Mus musculus: one gene and its partners. The protein of the gene in region 1 purifies or fractionates together with the protein of each later gene. This does not show direct contact. Links are inferred from orthologs where the notes say so. Each region holds a gene or a part of one and is shown on either strand. Other genes may lie near its edges. The genes, in order: Slc39a4, Golm1, Abcb10, Lemd2, Vps45, Mgat1 and Letmd1.

Region 1 (2,188 bases):
GAAAGAGCAGTCAGTGCTTCTAACTACTGAACCATCTCTCCAGCCCCCCAGATTCATTGCTTTTGCCTGATTGAAAACTTGCCTTTGGTTTTCTAGCCTCCAGAACTGAGAGAATAAAGTTCTGCTCTTTCGGCACCTAGTCTAGGGTAGACAATTATGTCAACCTCCAAAGGCTAATGCAAGGGGATTTGGAATAGCCGATTCTGCCGAGAGCTCCACATTAACAGGTTGTCCTTTGGTTTGATCATTTCTAGGCTTCTCTTCATGGCAGAAATGAGCCCTCCCTCATATTTGTAAGCAACGTTGGTAATGTTTTGACTCGAGACAAGGACCCCATCAGATCCTGGAGAACTCTGACCGTTCCCCAGGTTTGATTATAGGAAAGACAATCTGGCTGTCCACAGGACCCCCAGTGGAGCCGTCCATAGCAAACGCTGAAGATGGAGGTAGTGGCCTGCCCCAGAGCTTTCACCAGGAAACTCTACAAGAAGACAGTGTAGTTGGGTTTGATTGAAAAGTCTTTATTGAAGTCAGAGCAAGGAAATGAGGCTCAAAGCCTCTGGCTACCCGTAGTGGGGCCAACAATTAGGTGGCTTAAGAAGGTAAAGCAGAGTCAACAGACAGGGACAAGGACTGGGATGGGATAGAGCTGTCAGAAGGTGATGTTGTCTTCGTACAATGACAGCAGCAGCAGGACGGTCCAGCCGCCCAGCAGACCCACGTTGTGGAGCAGGAAAAGAAGCCAGGGCCGCTGGTCGCGCACATTCATCATGGCTGGGAGCTGAGGAAAAGATGGCACCAATTCAGCTGCCAGTTGGTTGGAGCCCCTGGTTAGCTCCCCACCCCTACATAAGGCTCTTCCCCTTTCTAACCATGTCACAAAGCGCCACGTAAAGGAAGAGGCCGGTTGCTACCGCCAGAATCCAAGCCTCGCCCTCCTCGCCTACTCCGACTGCTAGAGCCACGTAGAGGCCTGCGAATGCTGTGAGCGCTGAGGCCAGATTCAGCAAAAGCGCACGCTTCACACTCAGCCCGGCATGCAGCAGAGCAGCGAAGTCCCCTAGAACGGAACAAGTCAGCGAGAACTCTGCCCACAGGTCAGGTACAGCCCACCATGCCTGTCACACCCACATCCCAGACAGACACACCCAAAGGCAGTCCGGCAATCCATCCTACATCTAGCCACGCCCTCCACCCCCATCCCATCACATGCCTCTCTCATAGAAAGGCCTTGTCCCTTTTTCTCTGGCCTTGGTCACCTCCAGAATAGATTGCTCTTCTCACTAAGCCCCACCCTTTCAAGCCACGTCCCAGAGCTCACCGAGTTCATGGGGCAGCTCATGACAGAACACCGCCAATGAAGTGGCCAGCCCAGTCTTCCACGAGGATGAGAAGGCGGCGCCCACAGCGAGCCCGTCAGCGAAGTTGTGTACCGCGTCGCCCAGTGTGATCAGATAGGGCAACAGTCTCAGCTCTGTGGGCATAGCAAGCGTGGGTCTTGTAGGCCAGGTTCTGCACGCGCCTAAGGGCAAACCCCAGATCTGCAGTGCCCCCAGGAACTCCCTGGGGCTCACCTGCTCTCAGTCGCCGGGTCTCTGGGTTCAGTAGTTCCGGGGTCTCCTCTGCCACCTGGGGGGCGCCGGGGCGGGAGCAAGAATGAACCCAGGCAAATACATAACTAAAGGGCTCAATGTGGGATAGGACTTGCCTCTTACCAAGTCTGAACGAGAGCTTTCATGGGTCTGTTTGGACTGTCGGAGATTGCTTGGTGCCAGCTGCAGAGATATTCCATGGCTGTGCCCACCATGGCTACAAGGCCCATCTTTCTCAGAATCCTGTGGAAAAACTGGTCAGAGCCTGTGAAGACCTTACCCATCCCACCTAGTGGTTCCCCAGAGCCTGACCTGGTCCCTGGGCAACAAGAGGTTGAAGAAGCTCTCAAACAGGAAGAAGATGTAGAAGCCTCCAAGTACAGCCAGCAGGCGCCAGGTGGCCTGCCCACCAACGCCCACCTCCTCCTCATGGGTGTGACCCTCTCCACCATGTGTGTGCAGTCCCAGCACCTGAGAAGGGGGCGAGTACTGACTGGGGAACTTCAGGGCTACAAGAGGCTTGATTGAGGCTGGGAAAAGGGCAGTGTGGGGGGGGGGGGGCCCTGTTGAGTGACGGCTGACCTTGGGTATCAGGT
Region 2 (3,500 bases), on another chromosome or scaffold:
GCTTTGTGGGTTTTGCCTTTATAAGCACCAGACTAATGTGACTGGCAGCCATTCCCTGGGAATCCTAGGTATAAGCCTGGGTGGTGTCCATTGCCCTGGTCAGTATTTAATAAAGCTTGGTTCAAATTTGGCTTAAAAATTGTGGTAGTGGTCTCATTCTTGCCCAGGGAGATTAACAACCTGTAATCCCACCATTTGAGAAGCAGGGGCAGTAGGACACAGATTCTCAGGTGTCCTGAAATACAAAGACCCTGTCTGAATGTATATATAACATTTGGGTGGAGCACACACGTGTGAGATGACTGCTGGGTCCTCCAGAGCTTCTCAAGTGGTACCTCGTATCTTCTCAATGCCCTGGTCCATGTCACAGAATCCTGAGCAAGCCGGTTTCAGGGCTAAGGACCCCAAGACCCAACCTTATTCAAATTCTGGGCAGGGCAGCAATCTGGGAGAAAGGCACAAGGTGGACAGAAAGGCTCTAAGCTGTCATGGCCTCCACCAATTCCAGCAAGTGTGAATAAATATAGCTTAGTTCAGGGGCTCGAAAGATGGTTCGGCAATTAAGATCGGGGTGGCTGCTCCTACAGAGGACCTGAGTTCAGTTTCCAATACAGACCTGGCAGCTCACAACCATCTCTAACTCCAGTTCCAGGGCATTTAGTGCCCTCTTTTGGCCTCTGGGGATACCGGGCACATAGCTGGAGCACTTACATGCAGGAAAAACAGTCAAACACATAAAATAAAATATGAAAATCTTTAAAAAATAGTTTAGTTCAACATTTTTTTCCCCAAATCATTTAAAGGAATCTTTAACCATACTGGCTTTTACTTTTAAATCATTCTCTCAGTGCTGAGAAGTGGTGAGTTTGAAGGCAGCCTGATCTACGAAGCTAGTTCCAGGACACCTAGGGCTACACAGAGAAACCCAGCCTTGAAAAACAAACAGATGAACAAAGAAAACTTTACTTGGTTAGGAAAAGGCAAAACGCCGAGAACACAGAGCCCGGTTCTCTCCTTAGCTGCAATGCCACGCACACTTGATCTCACACTGCAACCTCTGGGTCAGCTGATAGGGCTCCATGGTATGATTTGCGAGTCTAGACAAAATGTGGGGACACAGGAACGTGTGGCCAATCTTCTAGAACTTAGTCTTTGAGCCCTGACTCCCAAAGAGTCTGGGGCAGGGCTTGTATTGCTTTGTTTCCCCATGAGCTCTCAGGGGACCCCACCATGGCATGAACAGCAGAGAATCTGACAGACGGACTGATAACCCAGCAGCTGACCAGCAAGCTGGGAGACTCTCGGGGGCTCACCTTTCGCTACCCACTCCGCTAGGGCCGCTTGTATTACAGGATCAAGGTTTTCCAGATTTTAGCATATTTACACGAACTTGACTCATTCATACCTCACCAAAAAATACGGCATCCAAAGTGTCCCTAAATCCACACCTGCGTGAGTCAGGTGCTTAAAAAGTTTCAGAATGTGGCACACCTCAGATATCAGATATCAGATGGGGTACTCAACCATACCTGTGACTCTCACTGAGAAAGGAAGGAAAGCAAGCAGCTCCCAGGACCTACGCAGGGGTCTGCTTGACCCTGGAACACAACTCCCAAAACTTCAGCCCAAGATAGCTCCCCTACCAACTCACACCAGTAAATTCTGCAGTCACTGAACATATTTGACAACTTAATTTCAGTTAGTTAAAATTAAATTAAATTGAGTCACGGTTCAAGCCTTCAATAGCCTCACATGGCTGGTGGCTACTGAGCCATAGAGAGCAGACCAACAACTAGCCACCGCAGTAGCCTGCTCACACCTCCATGCAATGACACAAGGCTTACACCCAGATGAATACAGAGAGGTAGGAGGTGTCACTCGGGAGAGGGCGATGGGGAAGCGGTCGGCCTTACCTTCTCATCCTGGTGTAGCTTGTTGACATTCTCCAGCTGGAAGCTGTGGCTAGACTGGATCCTGTCAAGTTGCTCTCTCTGCTTCTGCAGCTCGCCCTGGAACTCATTCTTCTTGAGCTCTACAGCACCTCTCTCTGCAGCCGCCCTGCGGACCCGGCCTTCCAGCTCTACAATGCGCGTCTAGAAGGAAGACACGGCCACAGCCATGAAGATCCAAGCCGCCAGCTGAGACGCTGCCAGCTCCCTCAACCAAGGCGTCATGGGACCAAAGCTTACGGCCCAGTGGAGAGCAGGACAAGGGAAGGGGTGGTGGATGGAAGATTACCCGGAGGACACAGGGGCAGGGGGACTTGCTAAAGTACTTGCGGTGGACACTTGCCAGAGGCAGCCAATGACCTAGCCATCAAGGGGAGGGGTGAACATGTTCTCTGCAGGGTGAGGCTGGGCAGATCAAAGACAACAATCACAACCTAAGGAACAGGAGGCCTCAGAGGAGACCAATGAGAGACTGTCATCGTTCCATGTCTTAGATAGGGTTCCCTCCCATTGCTATGATAAACATCACCACCGAAAGCCACCTGGGGAGGAAAGGGTTGATTTGGCTGAACCGTCCTGGTCACAGCCCATCTTTGAGGGAAGCTAAGGCAGGAACTCAGACTGGCAGGAGCCTCGTGACAGGAGCTGAAGCAGAAACCACAGAGGAGTGCTGCCTACTGACTTGTTCCTGCTGGCTTGCTCAGCCGGCTTTCCTTCTGTACAACTGCCCAGGGGTGGCACGAACTGCCTTGTCAATATCTGCACCCCACACTGGGATAGGCTCACTCACATCAGTCGCTAACAAAGGCCCACAGGTTTGCCCACAGGCCCGTATTATGGAAGCATTTTCTCAACCGTGGTCCCCTCTTCATGGACGACGTTTTAAAACCAAACCAAACCAAGCAGTGATAACAAACCCAACCATGGCCTCATTTACGATTGGCCATAATATGTGGGAAACCTAAAATTACCACCCATGTGGCCCTTGGTTTCTCCAGTGGACTGACAGACAGGAATGGGCAGTGTCCAGTTCACCTCTGCCAGCCAACATTCCCGTCTGCCCTAAACGCTCAATGGAAAGCAAAGCGCAACTCAGTAGTCACAGAGGAAGTGGTGCTGGGCTGGAGGGAGGGACCTGCTTCGGGGAGGGGGCTGGTGTGGAGAGCTAAAACACCGCTAGCACACGGTGTTGGAACCCAGGGTACCGGCTGACAATACACAGGGGACCCATGGCATGGTGCCTCAGCTGGTTTGAACACTCAGTGGTTCGTACACTCTAAAGACACAACATACCTGGAGTTCCACGCTTCTCGAGCTAGCAATCCAGTAGTTGAAGCCTAGCACAATAACACAGGCCACCAGGGCAGCCAGGATAAGGGGCGGAGACTTCATGCTGCGACGCCCATTCCCCAATCCCATCATCTTAGAACCAGGGCCGAGAACCTGCCAAATAAAAAACGCATGAGTTTCCACACTAAGCCTAGCATCCCCGAAGCAGACCACATCCATCTTCAGTATCCACAGGAAGGCAACCATGTGAGCTCTCTCTCT
Region 3 (3,500 bases), on another chromosome or scaffold:
GAGAAGACAGCCTGGTCTACAAAGTGAGTTCCAGGACAGCCAGGACTACACAGAGAGACCCTGTCTCAAAAAAAAAAAAAGGTCCCAGCTTACCATGAAGAAGACCAAAATGATCTGTTGTCCTGTTGTCTTCACTACACTGTGGGAAGGAGTCCCCAACATGGGTGCCTACAATTGCCGGCCCATGACAACCTTATAAATCTCAGCCCCTTCCCTAAGGCTAGCAAGGCCTAGAAGACCTAAGTTCGACTACCTACCTTCCAATACAGACAAAGGGCCCAAGTCCACCCATTGCTTTCTGACAAAGAACCAGACACCACCATAACATCCTGACTGCCAGCCCCACATAGCACAGCAGTCTCTAGTCCTCTGCCCTCATGACACACATTGCTGAGGTCTAATCAGTACCAGGGTTGTGCCATCTATCCATCCTAGTGCAGAAGTCCCAATCAAGAGTGGGAATGGGAGGCATGGGCGTGACCACAGGGTGCACAGTGGTAAAAGAGTTGGCTGGGATACAGTTGTTGCTCCACGCAGTCTTGTGCAAGGAGCTCCGTGAAAAGGAACCGCACTTGCTTCCTATGGACACACAGGGGAACTGTGAAGGACAGCAAGAGTTTCTCCCGGTCCTTCCTCCAGCCCCCCAGTGCTGCACAGGAACGCCAGTCTCAGCTCTTAATAGAAAGTCAGCATTTCAACTGATTGTGTTGAGTCCCTGGGCCATAGGAAACTGTCTGTGTGTGGAGTGGGTGTGTATGGAGTGCTGTGTGTGGAGTAGGTTTGTGTGGAGAGGTGTGTGTGGAGTGGTATGTGTGGAGTGGTGTGTGTGTGAAGTGTGTGTGTGGAGTGGTGTGTGTGGAGTGTGTGTGTGTGGAATGGTGTGTGTGTGAAGTGTGTGTGTGGAGTGGTGTGTGTGGAGTGTATCTGTGGAGTGGGTGTGTGTGGAATGTGTGTGGAGTGGTGCGATCCATCTGGAAGCCTCTGTCCCACTCTGGAGAACACGAGATGGAGGCAAAGCCAAGGGACCACAGCTCCAACAAGGTGAGCGAGCGAGCGAGAGGGAAGTAAGGGAAACCCGTCTTCCTACCTGACTCACTGTCCCAATCTTGGATCTCAGCCAGACGGGGTTTAGCTGACGAATGTCATGGCCATCAAGGCTGACTGTTCCTGATGGGAGGGAGAAGGCAGAGGTCACCACAGGTCAAGGGTGATAACCAAAGTGAACCCTAAAAGGAGGGGGAATCCCAGACTCACTGCTCCCTCTTCCCTCCCTTACTGAGGCAGGAGCTCATGTAGTCAGTCAACTGCAGACTCCCTGTGCAGCCGAGGATGACCCCCAACTCACCCTCCTTTCTCAGTCTACCTACCTGGGAGGACTGTGCCGTTATTTGACCCCTCTCCCACTAAGACTGTACTGGGGAGCAAATCCAGAATTTTTTTTTTTTTTTTGAGACAGGGTTTCTCTGTGCAGCCCTGGCTGTCCTGGAACTCACTCTGTAGACCAGGCTGGCCTCAAACTCAGAAATCTGCCTGCCTTTGCCTGCCAAGTGCTGGGATTAAAGGCGTGCGCCATCACTGCCTGGCCCAAATCCAGATTTTTTTTTTTTTTTTTGCATACTAAATAAACAGTAACCAGTTGATCCGCATCCCAACCCCCAGGCAACCTTTAAAGACTAAACACAGGGTCAGGACTCCAGTGTAGCTAGTGGTGAAACACTCGCTTAGCATATGCAAGGGCCTGGGTTCTGTCCCAACCACCGAAGAAAATCAACTTCCATAATGTCCATATGGAACTCAAAACCAACAAGGCTGGGACTTTCAGAGCAACAGGAGCCTTCTGGAATGTCTGAAGCTAGGACCTCCCCTAGTGGATGGGAGGCTAGCCAGCCCCCCCCTCCTGAGTTTGGAGGTGCTGGCAGCTAGGCTACCTGGCAGTGTTGGTGTTCCATGAATCTGAAGTCTTATGCAGCGCCTTGATTCCAAAGAGAAGTGTGTGGGACAGGGGAGGAAAACACAGTGTGCACTGGCTAGCAGTTCTGATGGCAGTCTCCTGACTGCAGTCTCCTGATCATGCTGGTATCAGAAGAGACCATGAAGGCCCAGTTCAGGGATGGAGGTCTACAATGTTCTGCAAGTTTAAACTGGAGTCTCTTCAGCAGCCCCGTCTAAGACTGCAGAACAGTGCACATACATACATACCTCACGAATGGATGAGACAGTCTCATACTTGCTAAGTACACAGCCAAGGAAGAGGCTGGAGGGATAGCTCAACCGTTAAGAGCACTGACTGTCCTTCCAGAGGCCTGAGTTCAATTCCCAGCAACCACATGGTGGCTCACAACCATCCATAATGAGGTCTGCCTAACCCTAACCCTAACCCTAACCCTAACCCTAACCCTAACCCTAACCCCCTAACCCTAACCCTAACCCTAACCCCCTAACCCCCTAACCCTAACCCTAACCTAACCCTAACCCTAACCCTCTTCTGGTCTACAGGCACACATGCAGGCAGAACATACAAAATAAATCTAAACTGTCTGGTCTGGACACAGAAGACCCTAAAAAAACAGTCAAGGAACAGCCCTGAGGCAGAAGCCATCAGAAGGCCTCTTGAAATCCAGAATTGCTATGTCAGCACATGTCAGCAGAGTTCCAGTGTGGGTATGGGACAGTCCACAGCACCCATGGCTGCTGGCACCAGAAGGTATTTGCTGGGTGCTGCTGGGCAGTCTTGCTGACCCATTTCCAAGGGTAGGAATATGGGAAAGTGTTGTCAGATGTGGTCTCTCCTAGGCATGGGGTGGGAACAGGCATCAGGAGAAGTCACTGACAGCTCAGAGATGCCTCTGCCCACACTGTCACTAGCCACCTACCAGAATTAGGGTCGTACAACCGCAGCAGGAGCGAAACCACTGTTGATTTCCCAGAACCACTTGGGCCAACCAGCGCTGTGACAGATCCAGATGGGATGGAAAGACTGAAATCCTGGAATACGGACACCTCTGGGCGAGCAGGGTATGTGAAGTGCACGTTTCTGAACTCCAGGGCACCCTGGAAGGTTTTCTCATCTAACACCATCCCCTCTGAAACACAAGAGGGAAGGCAGAAAGCCAAAGTGAGAAGAATGGAGCTCAGGGCAGAATGCCCCTGCCTCCCTGTGGGTGTCTCCCTTGCCTGACTGAAGTGAACAGAAACAGGCCTAGATGCTGGGCTTATCATGTAAGGTCTTGTGCGACCTTAATTGAGGTGTCACCTTTTCTTGGGAGCAGTGTGAAGCACAGTGTGAAGACTGGCCCTCGGGTCTGACCCACCTCAGTGACATCTCTCAGTGCCACCGTGCTCTAGTGGCTTCTGTGCCCATGGCTCCAGGGAAGGTGATGACAAGGAGGAGGAGATGGTTCTCCATCAGTACCAACATCCCAGCATCCCAAGGAGGAGATGGTCCTCCATCAGTACCAGCATCCCAAGGAGGAGATGGTCCTCCATCAGTACCAGCATCC
Region 4 (2,670 bases), on another chromosome or scaffold:
ACACACAGGCTGGTTTCTTCCTGAGTTGTGCACTGGGCCCCGCTACAGCTCACCAAGCAGGTGTGTGTGGCAGGAGTCTGACAAGCCCGTGTCCACACAGATGGGGCCAAGTGTGGACAGGAAGGAGGCCAGGACTGGCTATGACCACAGTACATAGCTAGGTTACCTTGTTTCTGGGCCACTAGCCTTTCGGACTAAGAGGTGAATGCCTATAGCTTGTTTTGCAGCTTTCTGAAAGCACCCCAACTCTGTCACAGCCCATCACCAATGCTGGGCCCAGAGACAGGAAGCTGCCTCCTTCAAGGGCTTACCAGCTCCGTGCAGCTTCCCTCAGAAGCCCTGGGAGCCTTGGGACCAGGGGCTCAGTGCTGAGTCCACATGGCTACCCTGCAACTCAAGTGGCTGTAAGCAGCTTACCTAACTCCCAGGGCCAGGGCAGCCTGGCCCTGTCCAGCCCTCCGCTGTAGGGAGACAGAGGAAGCACCACAAATAAAACCACATCCGTTCTCAATAAATATTTTATTTTTCCAACAGTTCCACCCCCAATACAAAAGCCATTGTCTTCTGGCTGGGGCCTGCTCAGTCCCGGTCCTGCTGACCACCCAGACACACGGCAATGAGCATACTGCTACACGGAGACCGAAATGAGCATACTGCTACATGGAGACCACACTTTATTAAGAAACAGAGACCAGCAATAGGTCCAAAAGGGGGTGTCTTGTGTCTTCTGGAGGCAGCTGCACGTCACCTCCAGGGGCTGTCCTCCTGCTGCTGTAGGTGAGACCCGCCTGAAGAGTTGCTCGAAAGCCTCCCTCTCAGCTAATGAGGCCCCCCACTGGGTGTATTTAGAGCAGGTCCTCCATAGCCGAGGGCTAATGGCCCACACTACTCCATGTGGCCTGCAGAGGGCAGTGTGCAGCCACGATGCTGCACCCTACCTGTGTGGCTAAGCAGCCAGGAAGCCTGTGCACAGTAAGTAGGTGAGGAGGCTGAGCTCCACCCTGGCTCAGGTGGCACTGCTGACCTGTGAGCAGCTCTGAGGCACAGGCAGCTGTGGCTGGACTCCCCACGCCTTCCAGACCCCAGCCACCTCTGCTTGGTCCCCTCCAGCTGCTCCTACCTTCTATAACATCGTCCCCTTCTGGACAGAGGCCCATGCAGGAGTGGGCTGGGTTCCTCCCCTCCCCTTAAGCTCCCTGGAAGCGAAAAGGCACATGGACCAAGCTTTGCCCCACCACCCAACCCACCTTCCAAGCGAGGGGCTTCAGGATCACCGTGCTGTCTAGCTGTGTGCAGGACCTCCAGGGTTCCAACCACTGCCCATCTTTTTATCCAGGGAGAACAAGCCACTCTCCCCTGTCAGTCAGTAATACTGACATAGAGGAAGGGCTCCCCTGTTCTCCCGGCTACCCTAAGTAAGCCCACATGTTCCAGACCTGAGACCCGGAGGGCAATCAAGGCAGGTGTGAATGAGCACCAAAGGTCTGTGTCCTTGCCCCAGCTGGGTGGCTGGGTCAGGCTGGCGGTAACAGGCCCTGCCCTATCGCTCTGAATCAGAGAAAGAGGAAGGCTTAGTCCATCTCCACACCAGCATGTCCTCCCCGGCCACTCGGTGGGACTCAGTCTGGATCCGAGATTCATTGGAAGCCAGGAATTCCACAGCACGGTCCCATACTCGCTTCATGCGCCGCCTGAAAGGAGAAGGTAGCGCTCAGCTGGGTCAGGCTGAACCACTCCATTCCCACAGAGGGGCGGGCATTCCTAAGCTCTACCACACTTGGATAAGCCAGCAGTGGACATGTTGATAGGGCAAAGTGAGGCACTGGGGATTTCCTCACCTCCTGTGCGCCACAAGCCTTGGTACAGAGCTAAGGGGCTGGCGGTGATGGGTACCCAGGACCACGTGGGGACTGTGCTTAGCTCAGATGCACCCCTTGTAGCATAGAGGACATGCGGGTGTGAAGATGAACCAAGATGGGAAAGCCACCCCCAACACGGTCCTGAAATCTTTTTTGTTGGGAAGGGGACCCACAAAACAGTGATTGGCTCCGGCTGACTCCTAAAGATGTGTCTCTGCTCACAGGCATCACTTGTCCCTGTCCTCACAATGCTGGGAATTTGGATGCTCTGATTACCCAACATGCTACAGACACAGAGCTCGGAGGATGGGGTGCCAGCCTCAGGCCAGGTCCCCAGGAGGCAGGAAACAGCACCTCGTCGGCAGGAGGGCCTGACCCACCAGTGGCTTCAATCAGCTCCCTCACTCGTGTCTCCTTTGAGGCCCCAAGTGTGCCCTTACCTGGCAGACGGGGGCTCAGACCCACTACAGGTCAGCTCTGCACCACTGTACCAGCATGTGAGGTCTAGGTGACATGGCTGCAGTCAGGGTGCCAAGCCAGCTCTGGCTATGTTCTCACGGGGAAATGTGTTGATATCAGGCAAATCAAAGGGCCAACAGCACTGTGCAGTGCTTGTGTGCCTGGAACTAGCATGCCAAACTCCAAGGCCACCTCCTCAGCACCTGTGGGACCAGCCACTGCCCCGTGTCACATGGTTTCCTATGCTTCCTCCTCCTGCTCTCATGTCCACCAAGGTGTGGACTCTGGGTCTCCACTTGCGCCGCACACAATGAGTGGAGCGGTGTGGCCTGAGTGCCTCGCTGTTCAGGGC
Region 5 (3,500 bases), on another chromosome or scaffold:
GAGACAGTCCCAGACATCTTTTTGAACTGTGGATAATTTTCAACAAAGGCCTGCCATGGAAGAAACATTAATGGAAGATGTTGTTACATTCTGACTAAGACTAGCCATTCGTAAAAAAGACTGTAAGCTGGGCATGATGGCACATGCTTTTGATCCCAGCACTCACAGGCAGAGAGGCAGGTGGATCTCTGAGTTCAAGGCCAGCCTAGTCTACAAAGCAAGTTCCAGGACAGCCTGGGCTATGCAAATAAACTCGGTCTCAAAAAAAAGGAAAAGATGGGCCATACCCTTATGGTCTTTATAGAGGCCAGTCCTAGCTGAGAATGGAAAGAGATTTAACATGATTTATGATGGATGTGTCACCATGCTATTTATTAAAGAAAAGGCTCACAGAAAATGTCTCAACTTAAGCAAAGTGACTTCCAGCACTTGGTAGGGCTGAGGTACAGTTCTGCCATGGGTTCCAGACTAGTCAGGCCTACACAGATACAGTACAGTCTACAGTAATAAGTACTGTATCAAAACCAAAATAGAAGGATGCAAACCAAACACAAACAAGCAGCTAGCTGGGCATGATAACCCCCATCTGGAATTCCATCACTTGGGAGGTGAAGGCAGGACCTCCTAAGCTCCAGCATGAGTTACATAGCAGTTACCAGCCAGTTCCACAAAACTCAAAAACAAGCAAAGAATCACGGTAGAAATTAGATCTGGACTATTCCAGAAGTTATGCCTCCATCAACAGTCTAAAGTGTCATATATAAAGAGTCCTGGTAGAAATGAGACCTGGAATATTGCAGAGATGATGCCTACATCAATAGTCATAGGTCAGTCATCCACGCGTATGATGTACCTTCATGTCTGCTATGGATTCCAGCTTTTGCTGCTCTTTTGGTCTCTTCTTCTGGAAGTCTTCCATGAGATTCTTTATATTGCTACCAATCTCGGCAAAGTTCAGGTACATGTTCTGTGAAAATGGAAGTCAGATAAAGTTCAAAACTAGTCTTTTTTTTTAATATCATGAGAGAAATGAAGAATTTTAAACAGACTTGAAAGATAAATTCCATTTTAATTACCAAGTCTGATATTAGCCAGGACACTTGTGATGAATACCATTAGTATTCTCACTGAGCTACCAGAATGGAGTCAGCTGCTATGACCAGAAGTCAGTATCTATGTGATCATATGTCCAAGGCCAGCACTAAATCTTTGCCACTCTGAGATGCAGCCTAGCTGCAGGATCCTGCTGTCCTTTCACACAAAGACCCAATGTGTCCCATTCTCACACGCCAGTACTGACACTTTACATAAGAACAACTGAAAAATTAAAGCACCTACATTAGCATAGAATTCATCATTTTCAGCGGACAGGACCACCTCTCTTAAGTCTTTGCTGATTCCTGGCACTCTGGAAAGATCAATCCGGTTGTTGTTTATGCCCAGTAGTTCATGGACCATGGCCTGATATGTCCACTAAAGAAGCAAAACAAAAAGAATTGTCAAGTGACAAAACATGGAAATATCAAGTGTTTAGGAAACCAAGAACAATGGCATATTTAGTAAGTAGCCTGCTTCACACCAAGTTCCTCTAGTTAGTTTGTATTTTTATTAATACTTTGCTCTCTAGTAAGTATTCAGATTGTCACTTTAATTGCTTAAACACTCAAACAGTCAAAATACTTTTACATTTCACACTTTAGAGAAAATGCAACAAGATTAATACTCCTGATAGAAAGAAAGTGACTGCAGCTATCATTAGCTCTGATTTTTGCCTGTGAATTAAGAGCATATTTTTGGCTTGCCAGCTAGGGCTATATTGGTAGTGCAGTTACAAGCTGCACCAGTTCCTGCACGCTTCTGTGGTTCTCTGCTGCCTGAGAAGTGTGTTCTTGCAGATCTGAGTGGTGCTATATTTATCCAGAGAACACTAATATTATCAGAAAAACCCTTGTGAGTTAATCAAAACACTGGCATAATCAGACACTTGCCTTGGATCCATTTTGTCTTATGTTTTTAACTGAGTATGAATTGTGAAGGATTGATTTATTACAGCCTTCAAAAATGTATTTTGTTTGGTTAAAAACCAGAAAGGTAAAATGCCAAAAATTTGCCTTCTCACCATTATAGAGACTGTATTTTTACAAAACTAAGAATCTTTTAGCAAGTTACTACTACATCTAGAATACAACCTAGGTGTGTTTATACATATATTTACAATTAAATTTATTAAGAAGTAATTTAAGGGGCTGGAGAGATGGCTCAGTGGTTAAGAACGCTGGCTGTTCTTCTGAGGACCAGGTTCCATTCCCAGCACCCCGTGGCAGCTCCCAACTGTCTGCAGCTCCAGCCCCAGGAGTTCAGCTCCCTCCCTGGCCTCCATGAGCACCAGGCATACTCTTTTTGCACAAACATACATTTAGGTAAAGCATCCACATTTTTTAAAAAAGAAAGAATTTAAGATGTAATAAAGGAGAGTACTTTAAATTTTGTTATTTTGTGTATATGTGTGTGTGCCACATGTGTGTAGATGTCTTTGGAAGGAAGAGGGCATCAGGTCCTACAGGAACTGAACTTGGGCCATCTGGAAGAGCAATCAGTACTCTTAACACTGAGCTGCCTCTAGCCCAGAAGAAGGTGCTTTATTGCCTGAGAGATTCGTCAAAGGATGGGAAAGATTGTTAGGTGGTTAAGAACACTGGCTGGTCTTCCAAAGGACCTGAGGTTCAGATCCTAGCACCCATACGGTGGTTCACAGCTGTCTATGAATCCAGCTCCAGGGGAACCCAGTGCCTTTCTGGCCTCCAATGACAACAGGCATACAGGTGGCGCAAAGACACATACACAGGCAAAACACCCAAAGACATAAAAGAAAAAAGGAAAAGAAAGGGGTTTTTCAACTTCTAGAACAAATTAAAACAAACAACAACAAAAATACAGATTTGCCAAGAGGACCCTGAGGAAGCCCGCTCTACTGGGCTGTACAAGTAAAAGCTAGTTTCTCCTCCTTTTAGGACACAGGGGGTTTTGTTTTGTTTAGAACAAGAGGCTCTCTCTTTTAACTCTTACATACAATACTAGATCAGTACACACAGTTATAGGTTCTCAGGGAAATCTGGTTTTCTTTTAACTCTTACATACAATACTAGATCAGTACACACAGTTATAGGTTCTCAGGGAAATCTGGTTTTCTTTTAACTCTTACATACAATACTAGATCAGTACGCACAGTTATAGGTTCTCAGGGAAATCTGGTTTTCTTTGAACTCTTACATACAATACTAGATCAGTACGCACAGTTATAGGTTCTCAGGGAAATCTGGTTTTCTTTGAACTCTTACATACAATACTAGATCAGTACGCACAGTTATAGGTTCTCAGGGAAATCTGGTTTTCTTTGAACTCTTACATACAATACTAGATCAGTACACACAGTTATAGGTTCTCAGGGAAATCTGGTTTTCTTTTAACTCTTACATACAATACTAGATCAGTACACACAG
Region 6 (2,976 bases), on another chromosome or scaffold:
TTTCAGTCAACTCTGAGGGTGGGACAGACATACTCTGGTTGTCATTATCCTGACCAGGAGCCTTAGGTGCCACTGCATAGCCTGCCACATATGCACTACAAACCCTGGGCTCACTGGCAGCTTTCGGAGTTGCCCAACAGACGCTGCCTGAGCCAGCAAAGGGTATGCGGCACAACGTGGAACGTTCAGATGCCAGGGTTTTCTATTTCTGTTTTGCAGACCACTCCCAGACTTACTTGCCAACTGAGGAGCCTGTGGCCAGCTTGAGATTACCAGCAGGCCCGCAACCTAGGGCCCTCCTCACAAGCTGGCCTTGCTACCTCACCTGGCCCCATCCTCAACTGTCCCTGTCCCCCAAACTCCCCCCAACCCTATTTTTCTTCTCATTCTCTTTCCTCGAGGTGTCCACTTGCTTTCTGTCCTGTAGACTTTCCTCTCTCCCTTTGCCAACCCCTCCCCCACCCCTTCGCCTCCTTCCCTAGGACACACACACACACTTATTTTTCAGCAATTCAGCCTTTACTTTATTTTTGAAAATAATTCTGTAGATTCCATTTTCTTCCATGAAACTAAGATCAGGCAACAAACAAGGACACACAAATTTCTCTTCAGCCTGCCCCCTGCATCTTGGCCTGGGAAGATGTGGGAAGGCTGGGAAAGGCCGAGGACCAGAGCCGGCTCAGGGCCACAGATGTCCTGATCTCAGCTGCTGCCACCAGGAGCAAGCCCTCGGGGAGGAGCCCCTGAAGCAAACCCCAGGGGAAAGAGGCATGGAGCCCACTGTCTTCCACTAGGCCGCCCCTGAATCCTCCTAAAGAATGCGGAGAGAACTAACTTTCAGAAAGGAGGGGGGCCACAGGCAAGAAGACAGGGTACCCACGCATAGACTTTCCATCTCCCAACAACGCACTGCTCTGCTCCAGGACAAGAGCCACGTCAGCAGGGAGAGAAGCCAGGAGGTAGTGCCCCGGCAGCAGCAATCCACGCTAACTCTGACAGTGAGTCCCTCTGTTAGTCTCATCTGACCAAAGATCCATTCCTTCCTCCATAATCCAGCCCCACCCTGAGGGAAGGTTCAGAAAGGGAGGATGGGTACATAAAGAGGGCTCATGGGCTAACAGGGGCCAGATCAGGGTGGAGAGGCCTGCTGAGGAGAGCTGGAGCTGCCAAGCTCTCTGCAGATGCCCTTGGAGACATTACAAACCTGGCCCCAACAGGCCCAACCCTCCCCATACCACACAGTGGTTTCTTGTTCAATATGCCCCGAACATACCACACAATACTCCCTTGACAACAGGAGTATAACTCTCATCCTATGATTTGTGCACTAGAATGCCATTTGGGGGCTGGCCAGGACACAAAGGGAAGATCTACAGATCCAAGAGGGAGACACTGAGAGGGAGACACTGGCAGGATGGTGTAGCCCAGGCCCTGCAGGCCTGCCTCGGCTCAGCACGCGGCAAGGAGACCCAGGAGGGAAAGGCAGGTGCTGCTAATTCCAGCTAGGATCATAGCCAGTCCATGTCTGTGGGGGTGCCAGGTGCACACGCCGGCCCCGAAACTGGAAAGTGACAATGCCACGGTAGCCAGCCCTGGGGACACCAGACTTGAGGTCATCCATGACACCCAGGGCCTTAGCAAAGGCCTTGAAGCTGTCTCTGCTAGTGTACTGTACCCGCACCTCCCCCAGCTCCTTCTGATCATTGGTCCTTACTTTCTCCACCTGTAGCTGGGGGGCACCATAGACCTGGGCGAGGAAGTCCCGGTCATAGGCCTCCTGCTGCAGGTACGACAGGTCCAACTGGGTGAAGGGGACGAACTGCTGGTTCAGCTTGATGAACTTAAGATGCTGGTCAAAGAACTGCCCGTGGCTCACACCCTTGCGACCAAAGGTCATAGTTCTTGAAATTTCTGGACGAATACAAGCCCGTCCTTTCCGCTGCTCAGGTCGGCGCATCCAGTCGTCCCAAAAGGCCTTGGGCCACTTGGGCTCCAGCTCTGCCCACAGATCAGCCAACAGCAGCCATCCAAGGCCAGGAAAAAAGTCTGTTCGATAGAGCAGCTCAGGTTTGCTTGAGTCTACCATCTGCTCCTTGCCATTGTCATTCCAAGCAGACACACACCAAAGGGAGGGGTCTGTTCTCAGCAGTGGGTAGGTGGCCTGGAAGTACTCAAAGAAGTCTGGTGCCACTTCCAGATCATCCTCCACTACCACAGCGGCCGGGAACTTGAACTTGTTGAAGATCTGGCCTAGTGCCCAGCGGTAGTGCCTGGCAATCTTGTAGTAACCCTGGAACTTGCGGTGGTCTGGCTGCACGGCAATGTTACTCAGGTCCGGCTGCCGGATGTGTGTGACTGCAGTGCCATAGGAAGCAATGACCTGTGCTGTCTCTTCATGCCCACAGTCCTGACTGACAATAATGGGGAAACGCTCAGCTGAGGGCCGATAGTGCAACAACTTATCCAAGCAGCGCCGGACAGTGCTGCGGTCACAGGCAATGACCAGGATGGGGATCTGCACTGGTGAGGGGGTCACAGGCACACGGGGCCAGGCTGGAGGGGCCACAGTGGGAACTCTCCACCTCTGCCTCCACAAAGCATAATGCTCCTTGATTTGCTGCAACAGTCCCCTCTGCCGCTCCAACTCCGCCTCAGCGTCCTCGGCCAGGTGGATGACCTCACGGGTGAGGCTGGCAGGGTCATCACCAAGGGCGCTGTCTGAGGGCAGCCTGCCAGGTGCTGGGCGTGTCCAGAAGAAGAGAAGCAGCAGGGCATTCCAGCCCACAAAGATGATAGCACCCCAAAGCACAAGCCCTGCAGTCTGCTTCTTCAGCATCCTGGCCCCCGCAGGGGAGGGCAGGGGAGGGAGGGCTCAAGGCTGCCTTTGGCTTGCCTGGCTCAGGTCCCCACACTAAGGGTTTATTCTTCTAGGCTGAGAGTAGGAAGAAGCCATGTACCTAAAGAGGGGGAGAGAGA
Region 7 (4,300 bases), about 24 Mb from region 1:
CTGAGAGCTTCTGGGTGTTTGTCCCCGGCCCGTACCTGTCTCAAATGCTCCATCTCCCGGTAAGAGAGTTGATGAAACTTTAGGTTTTGTTTCCACATGTCTGCCTTTATTCTTCTAGCCTTTTTGCCATCAGCCCATAACATCTGTATTCCTGCCCCATTAAAGTGGAGGACAGAACGTGGTGTTATCCCGGTTTGAATCGCCTACCGTGGTCACTCACATGCACACACACCGGCCCCTCCCCGGCTCTACCGACAAGGAAGCTTGTGCCTCGCAGACCCGCCCCCCCCATCCTTTCCCCTAGCACATAACCCAGCTGAATTACTCATTGCTTGGCTTTAAACTTGAGCTATGTGCATCCCAGCTAGATACTAACTTGCTGCTTTCTGGGGCATGTTTATAAGCTGCATGATTTGATATATTGCTATGATTCCATTCTGAATCTTCCATCTATGATAATCCTTGTTTTTCTAGTTTTTTAAAAAAAAAAAAAACCTATTTCCAGGGCTGGAGAGATGATGACTCAGGTTTAAACATTTACTGCTCTTGCAGTCACCTAGGACCTAGGTTCGGTTCCCAGCACCCACATGGTGGTTCGCAACTATCCAGAACACATGCTCGAGGGCATCTAATGCTTTCTGACCTCAGAGAGCACTAGGCATGCACACAGCACACGGATACGCATGTAGGCAAGACAGTCACACAAATAAAATGAATAAAATCACTTCTAATGCTTCCAAAATGTTATCTAGGTTGGCTTCAAATAACACAAGGCATATATGTGTCTATGATTGGTGGTCGTTAAGTATTTTGTTTCGAGGGGGTTTGTTGTTTTTGTTGTTACAGCCTTGCTGTGTAGCTGAGGCTGGCCTAGACCTCCTGATTCTCCTGCCTTGGGATGCTGGGTTGTGGGGCTGTAAGACACAGAACCCCCGTGGCTAACAAGGCAGCCATTGTTACCTCCACTTCTTAGATAAACTCCATGACGCTAATGATTAGAGTAAGATTCAGAGTTGGCAACGTTCTATTTTTTTTTATTAGTGGATAAAAGTATAGAATACAACAATAGAAAAAGTTAACACATATTGGACACTTGGTATAGAGCTGTCATACTAAAATAAATGAGGCCATGTTCTAAGCCTTTTAAATATGTTGATCTACTCTTCACCATTAGGTGTGGTGGCTCACTCAGCATTACCATCCCAGCAGGCAGAGAGACCAGAAATTCAAGGTCATCCTCCACTACACAGAAAGCCCCAGGCCAGCCCGAGCTACACTCTTCCTAGATGACTAAATAATAATCATAACTAGGTAATCAGCAGGTAGGTTCTAGTACCTCCTTACAGATGAGACACCAAAGACCCTGTAAGTGTCACTAGCGCCAGTGCACAGTCTAAGTCACAAATGGGATTTGAATCCGGCATTTTGGTTCCAGGGCTGTCATGTGACATTATAGGTATCATCTCAACATAGCTAGCGGACCTCCACTTTGAGTGGAAGCATTCAGAAACCAAGTGTCTACAGTTCTATTTCCACTACAAGTTATCTAAGCTGGCCACGTGATAAACACGCCCCACGAAGCAGCGAGTTACTACCTGGCTGGGGAGCTCTCAGGGTTAATCGACCATGACGCCCTGGTGTTAAGGAGTTTAAAACAAAGCATTTAATCTGGTTTCCTTATGATAACAATCCCTGGGTCTGGTCTGCACTGAGCAGGACAAGGAATTTCTAAGGAAATGAGAATATATTTACATCTTCTGCTCTCTCTCGAGTGATGTCAGGATTTGTCTACCATAACATCCATCTGGATATTTAAGAGGTGGCAGTGACAATTTGTAAGAATTCATGCTCAAACCCTGACGGAAGAGAAGACATCCCAACTCACAGCGCAGCAGCGGACCCGGCACATTGCAATCTCACTGACTGTGACTAACGCAGAAGAGCAGATTCGGGCTTCTCAATGTTAGCGTTTACCTTTCATGAAGGTTGTGTATAAGGCATAGAAGCGGGGGAAATGACGCCCCAAGAAACGATGGTACGATCCGTTAATCGCTCTTGTCTTGGTCACCACGTAAGAAATCAAGTTCTTCACGTCCGCCTTCGGAGAAAGGTGAAGCTTTGAAGACCTACAACGAAGACCAAAGAGACTATCTGCGAAGGAGTAGAAGCCATTCGGTACGTAGGACCCCTCGGTAAACATACGGTTTCTGAGAGCGATTGCCAGAACTCTTCTGAAAACCCAAGCTCAGGGTTAGGGTTGGTATGAGAGGGGCAGATCATGCAGAAAGGTGTGAGCGTGGAGCGTGCGCAAAGCCTGCGGGGCCAGGAGAATGCAAGCTGAAGCCATGGAGAGATGGGAAGGGGAAGCTGAAAGATGAGCTCAGGATGTGCGGGGACAATCGGGTGGACACGGAGTACGGAGAGGGACAGGGACGGGCGTTCGGTGGGAATCCTGCATGGAAAAGCAAAACCCAGGGCCCAAGGCAGGGGATCCCGAGAGGCGGAGGCTGAGCCGCTGGAAGGGCTTCTACATCAAAAATGCTCTTCTTTCTCCAGGGCCCTCACCGAGGGGCTCGCCACGCAGGGCCAGAGCGGCCCAGCTGCAGCCTCCGGGTGACAAAGGGTCCAGGGGCGACAGTCGAACCCCACAGAGCAGCCCGAGCCCAGCACACCCTGGACAGCGCCATCTTCACAGCAGGGGAGGGAGCGCGGAGAGAGGTCGTCTCCGGGTCAGAGTGCGCCCCGCAGCACGCACGCGCCGCCCCTCCACGCCGACAGGCGGCTGCGAGCCGCCCCGCGCCCCCCGGGCGAGCCCGGGCGGGGACCCGGATTGGACGCGGCGACGCTTCCGCGCGCAGGACCGGAAGCGAGCCTCCCCGAGGGAGCGAGCGCCGGCCCAGCCTGAGGTCGCTATCGTGAGCCGAGGACGGCGTCTCCTTGAGGAACCCAGTGCCCTCGTCGGTCCCTGGGGGCTCGGGGCCGCGGGCGCTGCCCTTGACCTCTGTGGGAGCCCGGGGTCGTGGCCCCGATGGCGGCGGCGCGGGGTGGCGCTGCGCCCTCTAGTGGCGGCGGCCGGCAGGGCTCCGCCCTCCATCAATCTGGCGGCAGGTGTAGAACCCCTTTCCAACCCTCGCTTTCTGGTCCTCACGCGCCCTTGTCACGGAGTAGGTGCGCGGTGGATATTTTTTGGAGAAATGACTACTTGAAACTCGGAAGGGTTTCTAGGCGTCCAGCTGTCCGCGAGAGTCGACGGCCCTCTTGTGTCCATAGGCATTTTAACGGACGTGAAGCACGCTGAAGCCATGCGTCTGCAGTCAGGTTTAGTGTGGGGGACCTTGGACAGGTCACTTCGGTGAACTTCATGTGGGTTGTACCTGTGTTGCAGAATTCTGTGAAGATCGAAGGATGAAATGTTTGCATGTTTGCAAAAGCTCCCACGTCTGTAGAACATCTCCGTGTTTGGAGGGCTGGTGGTTTGAACAGTTGCAAAGCTGTTCTCTGCAAGAGGAGGTAGGTAGGTAGGATAGAAAATGACCAAAAGATGGGTTCTCTCGGTTCTCAGGTAGCTTCTAAGTCCCTCAACTACGGTGTCTCCGGCTCGCTAATAGAACTCCCAGGAGACACGAGCGCAGTCACAGACGGTTTTCTAACAGAAATGGAAAGGCACTGCCTGGGAGAACAAACTAAAGGGAGGGCATTTTGTGTAGTCCAGGGTGTGGGGGGGGGGGCGGGGGGGGGGAGGTCGTCCTGGGTAAAGTGCTGAGTAAGCTTAAGGACCTGAGTTCAATCCCTGACTCTAACGCCAAAAGCTGGGCACGGTGGTCTGTGCCTATGACCGCCTCCCCACCCCACCCCCAACACACCCACGTCCTGGCCTCTGTGCAGGGGAACCCGGAGCTTCTTTAGAGCTGAGACCCAGGCAGGAGGAGCCCTGGCACTTGCTAGCCAGCCAGTCTAGCCAAGTTAGCAAGTTACAGGGTTAGAGGGGACCCTGTCCAAAAAAAAAAAAAAAAGATATGTGCATATCCAACACCAGGCATGCGCAAACATGTACACAAACTACAAAAAGAAAAAATGTGATACGGATTCTACGGATTCATTTCCTCACATAGCTGCTGAGTATTTCTTCTTCCATTCCCCTTCCACTGACATACAGGTAACGAGTGTGTGTGCACACAAGCTCAGTCTCTGTCTGTCTCTCTCTGTCCAGCCCACAGTGCGTACATTTATAATCCCAGCACTGCAGTGGGGAAGGTGAGAGGTAGAAATAGGAAAATGTCCAGAATCTCGGAGGCCAGCT

Evidence for each region.
Region 2: the proteins of Slc39a4 (region 1) and Golm1 purify together in Homo sapiens (affinity purification with mass spectrometry; 3 studies listed by BioGRID and IntAct, counting the BioPlex papers as one, with this or other methods). This does not show direct contact. The link is inferred for Mus musculus from reciprocal best matches to the Homo sapiens genes SLC39A4 and GOLM1.
Region 3: the proteins of Slc39a4 (region 1) and Abcb10 purify together in Homo sapiens (affinity purification with mass spectrometry; 3 studies listed by BioGRID and IntAct, counting the BioPlex papers as one, with this or other methods). This does not show direct contact. The link is inferred for Mus musculus from reciprocal best matches to the Homo sapiens genes SLC39A4 and ABCB10.
Region 4: the proteins of Slc39a4 (region 1) and Lemd2 purify together in Homo sapiens (affinity purification with mass spectrometry; 3 studies listed by BioGRID and IntAct, counting the BioPlex papers as one, with this or other methods). This does not show direct contact. The link is inferred for Mus musculus from reciprocal best matches to the Homo sapiens genes SLC39A4 and LEMD2.
Region 5: the proteins of Slc39a4 (region 1) and Vps45 purify together in Homo sapiens (affinity purification with mass spectrometry; 3 studies listed by BioGRID and IntAct, counting the BioPlex papers as one, with this or other methods). This does not show direct contact. The link is inferred for Mus musculus from reciprocal best matches to the Homo sapiens genes SLC39A4 and VPS45.
Region 6: the proteins of Slc39a4 (region 1) and Mgat1 purify together in Homo sapiens (affinity purification with mass spectrometry; 3 studies listed by BioGRID and IntAct, with this or other methods). This does not show direct contact. The link is inferred for Mus musculus from reciprocal best matches to the Homo sapiens genes SLC39A4 and MGAT1.
Region 7: the proteins of Slc39a4 (region 1) and Letmd1 purify together in Homo sapiens (affinity purification with mass spectrometry; 3 studies listed by BioGRID and IntAct, counting the BioPlex papers as one, with this or other methods). This does not show direct contact. The link is inferred for Mus musculus from reciprocal best matches to the Homo sapiens genes SLC39A4 and LETMD1.

The regions. Positions count from the first base shown.
Region 1 is NC_000081.6:76,611,883-76,614,070, forward strand, and holds the end of Slc39a4 (zinc transporter ZIP4 precursor), read right to left. Parts: coding exon 2,175-2,188; intron 2,064-2,174; coding exon 1,905-2,063; intron 1,836-1,904; coding exon 1,716-1,835; intron 1,630-1,715; coding exon 1,575-1,629; intron 1,475-1,574; coding exon 1,322-1,474; intron 1,061-1,321; coding exon 873-1,060; intron 782-872; coding exon 653-781; 3' UTR 501-652; downstream 1-500. UniProt on the Homo sapiens protein: Selective transporter that mediates the uptake of Zn(2+). Plays an essential role for dietary zinc uptake from small intestine. The Zn(2+) uniporter activity is regulated by zinc availability.
Region 2 is NC_000079.6:59,662,285-59,665,784, forward strand, and holds part of Golm1 (Golgi membrane protein 1), read right to left. Parts: intron 3,393-3,500; 5' UTR 3,372-3,392; coding exon 3,243-3,371; intron 2,094-3,242; coding exon 1,914-2,093; intron 1-1,913.
Region 3 is NC_000074.6:123,959,123-123,962,622, forward strand, and holds part of Abcb10 (ATP-binding cassette sub-family B member 10, mitochondrial precursor), read right to left. Parts: intron 3,084-3,500; coding exon 2,874-3,083; intron 1,168-2,873; coding exon 1,088-1,167; intron 1-1,087.
Region 4 is NC_000083.6:27,189,100-27,191,769, forward strand, and holds the end of Lemd2 (LEM domain-containing protein 2), read right to left. Parts: intron 1,692-2,670; coding exon 1,541-1,691; 3' UTR 501-1,540; downstream 1-500. UniProt on the Homo sapiens protein: Nuclear lamina-associated inner nuclear membrane protein that is involved in nuclear structure organization, maintenance of nuclear envelope (NE) integrity and NE reformation after mitosis.
Region 5 is NC_000069.6:96,041,456-96,044,955, forward strand, and holds part of Vps45 (vacuolar protein sorting-associated protein 45), read right to left. Parts: intron 1,474-3,500; coding exon 1,339-1,473; intron 968-1,338; coding exon 854-967; intron 51-853; coding exon 1-50. UniProt on the Homo sapiens protein: May play a role in vesicle-mediated protein trafficking from the Golgi stack through the trans-Golgi network.
Region 6 is NC_000077.6:49,260,552-49,263,527, reverse strand, and holds the end of Mgat1 (alpha-1,3-mannosyl-glycoprotein 2-beta-N-acetylglucosaminyltransferase), read right to left. Parts: intron 2,958-2,976; 5' UTR 2,837-2,957; coding exon 1,493-2,836; 3' UTR 501-1,492; downstream 1-500. UniProt on the Homo sapiens protein: Initiates complex N-linked carbohydrate formation. Essential for the conversion of high-mannose to hybrid and complex N-glycans.
Region 7 is NC_000081.6:100,467,511-100,471,810, reverse strand, and holds the start of Letmd1 (LETM1 domain-containing protein 1), read right to left. Parts: upstream 2,801-4,300; 5' UTR 2,688-2,800; coding exon 2,566-2,687; exon of another isoform or gene 2,127-2,565; coding exon 1,975-2,126; intron 152-1,974; coding exon 36-151; intron 1-35. UniProt on the Homo sapiens protein: Plays an essential role for mitochondrial structure and function, as well as thermogenesis of brown adipocytes.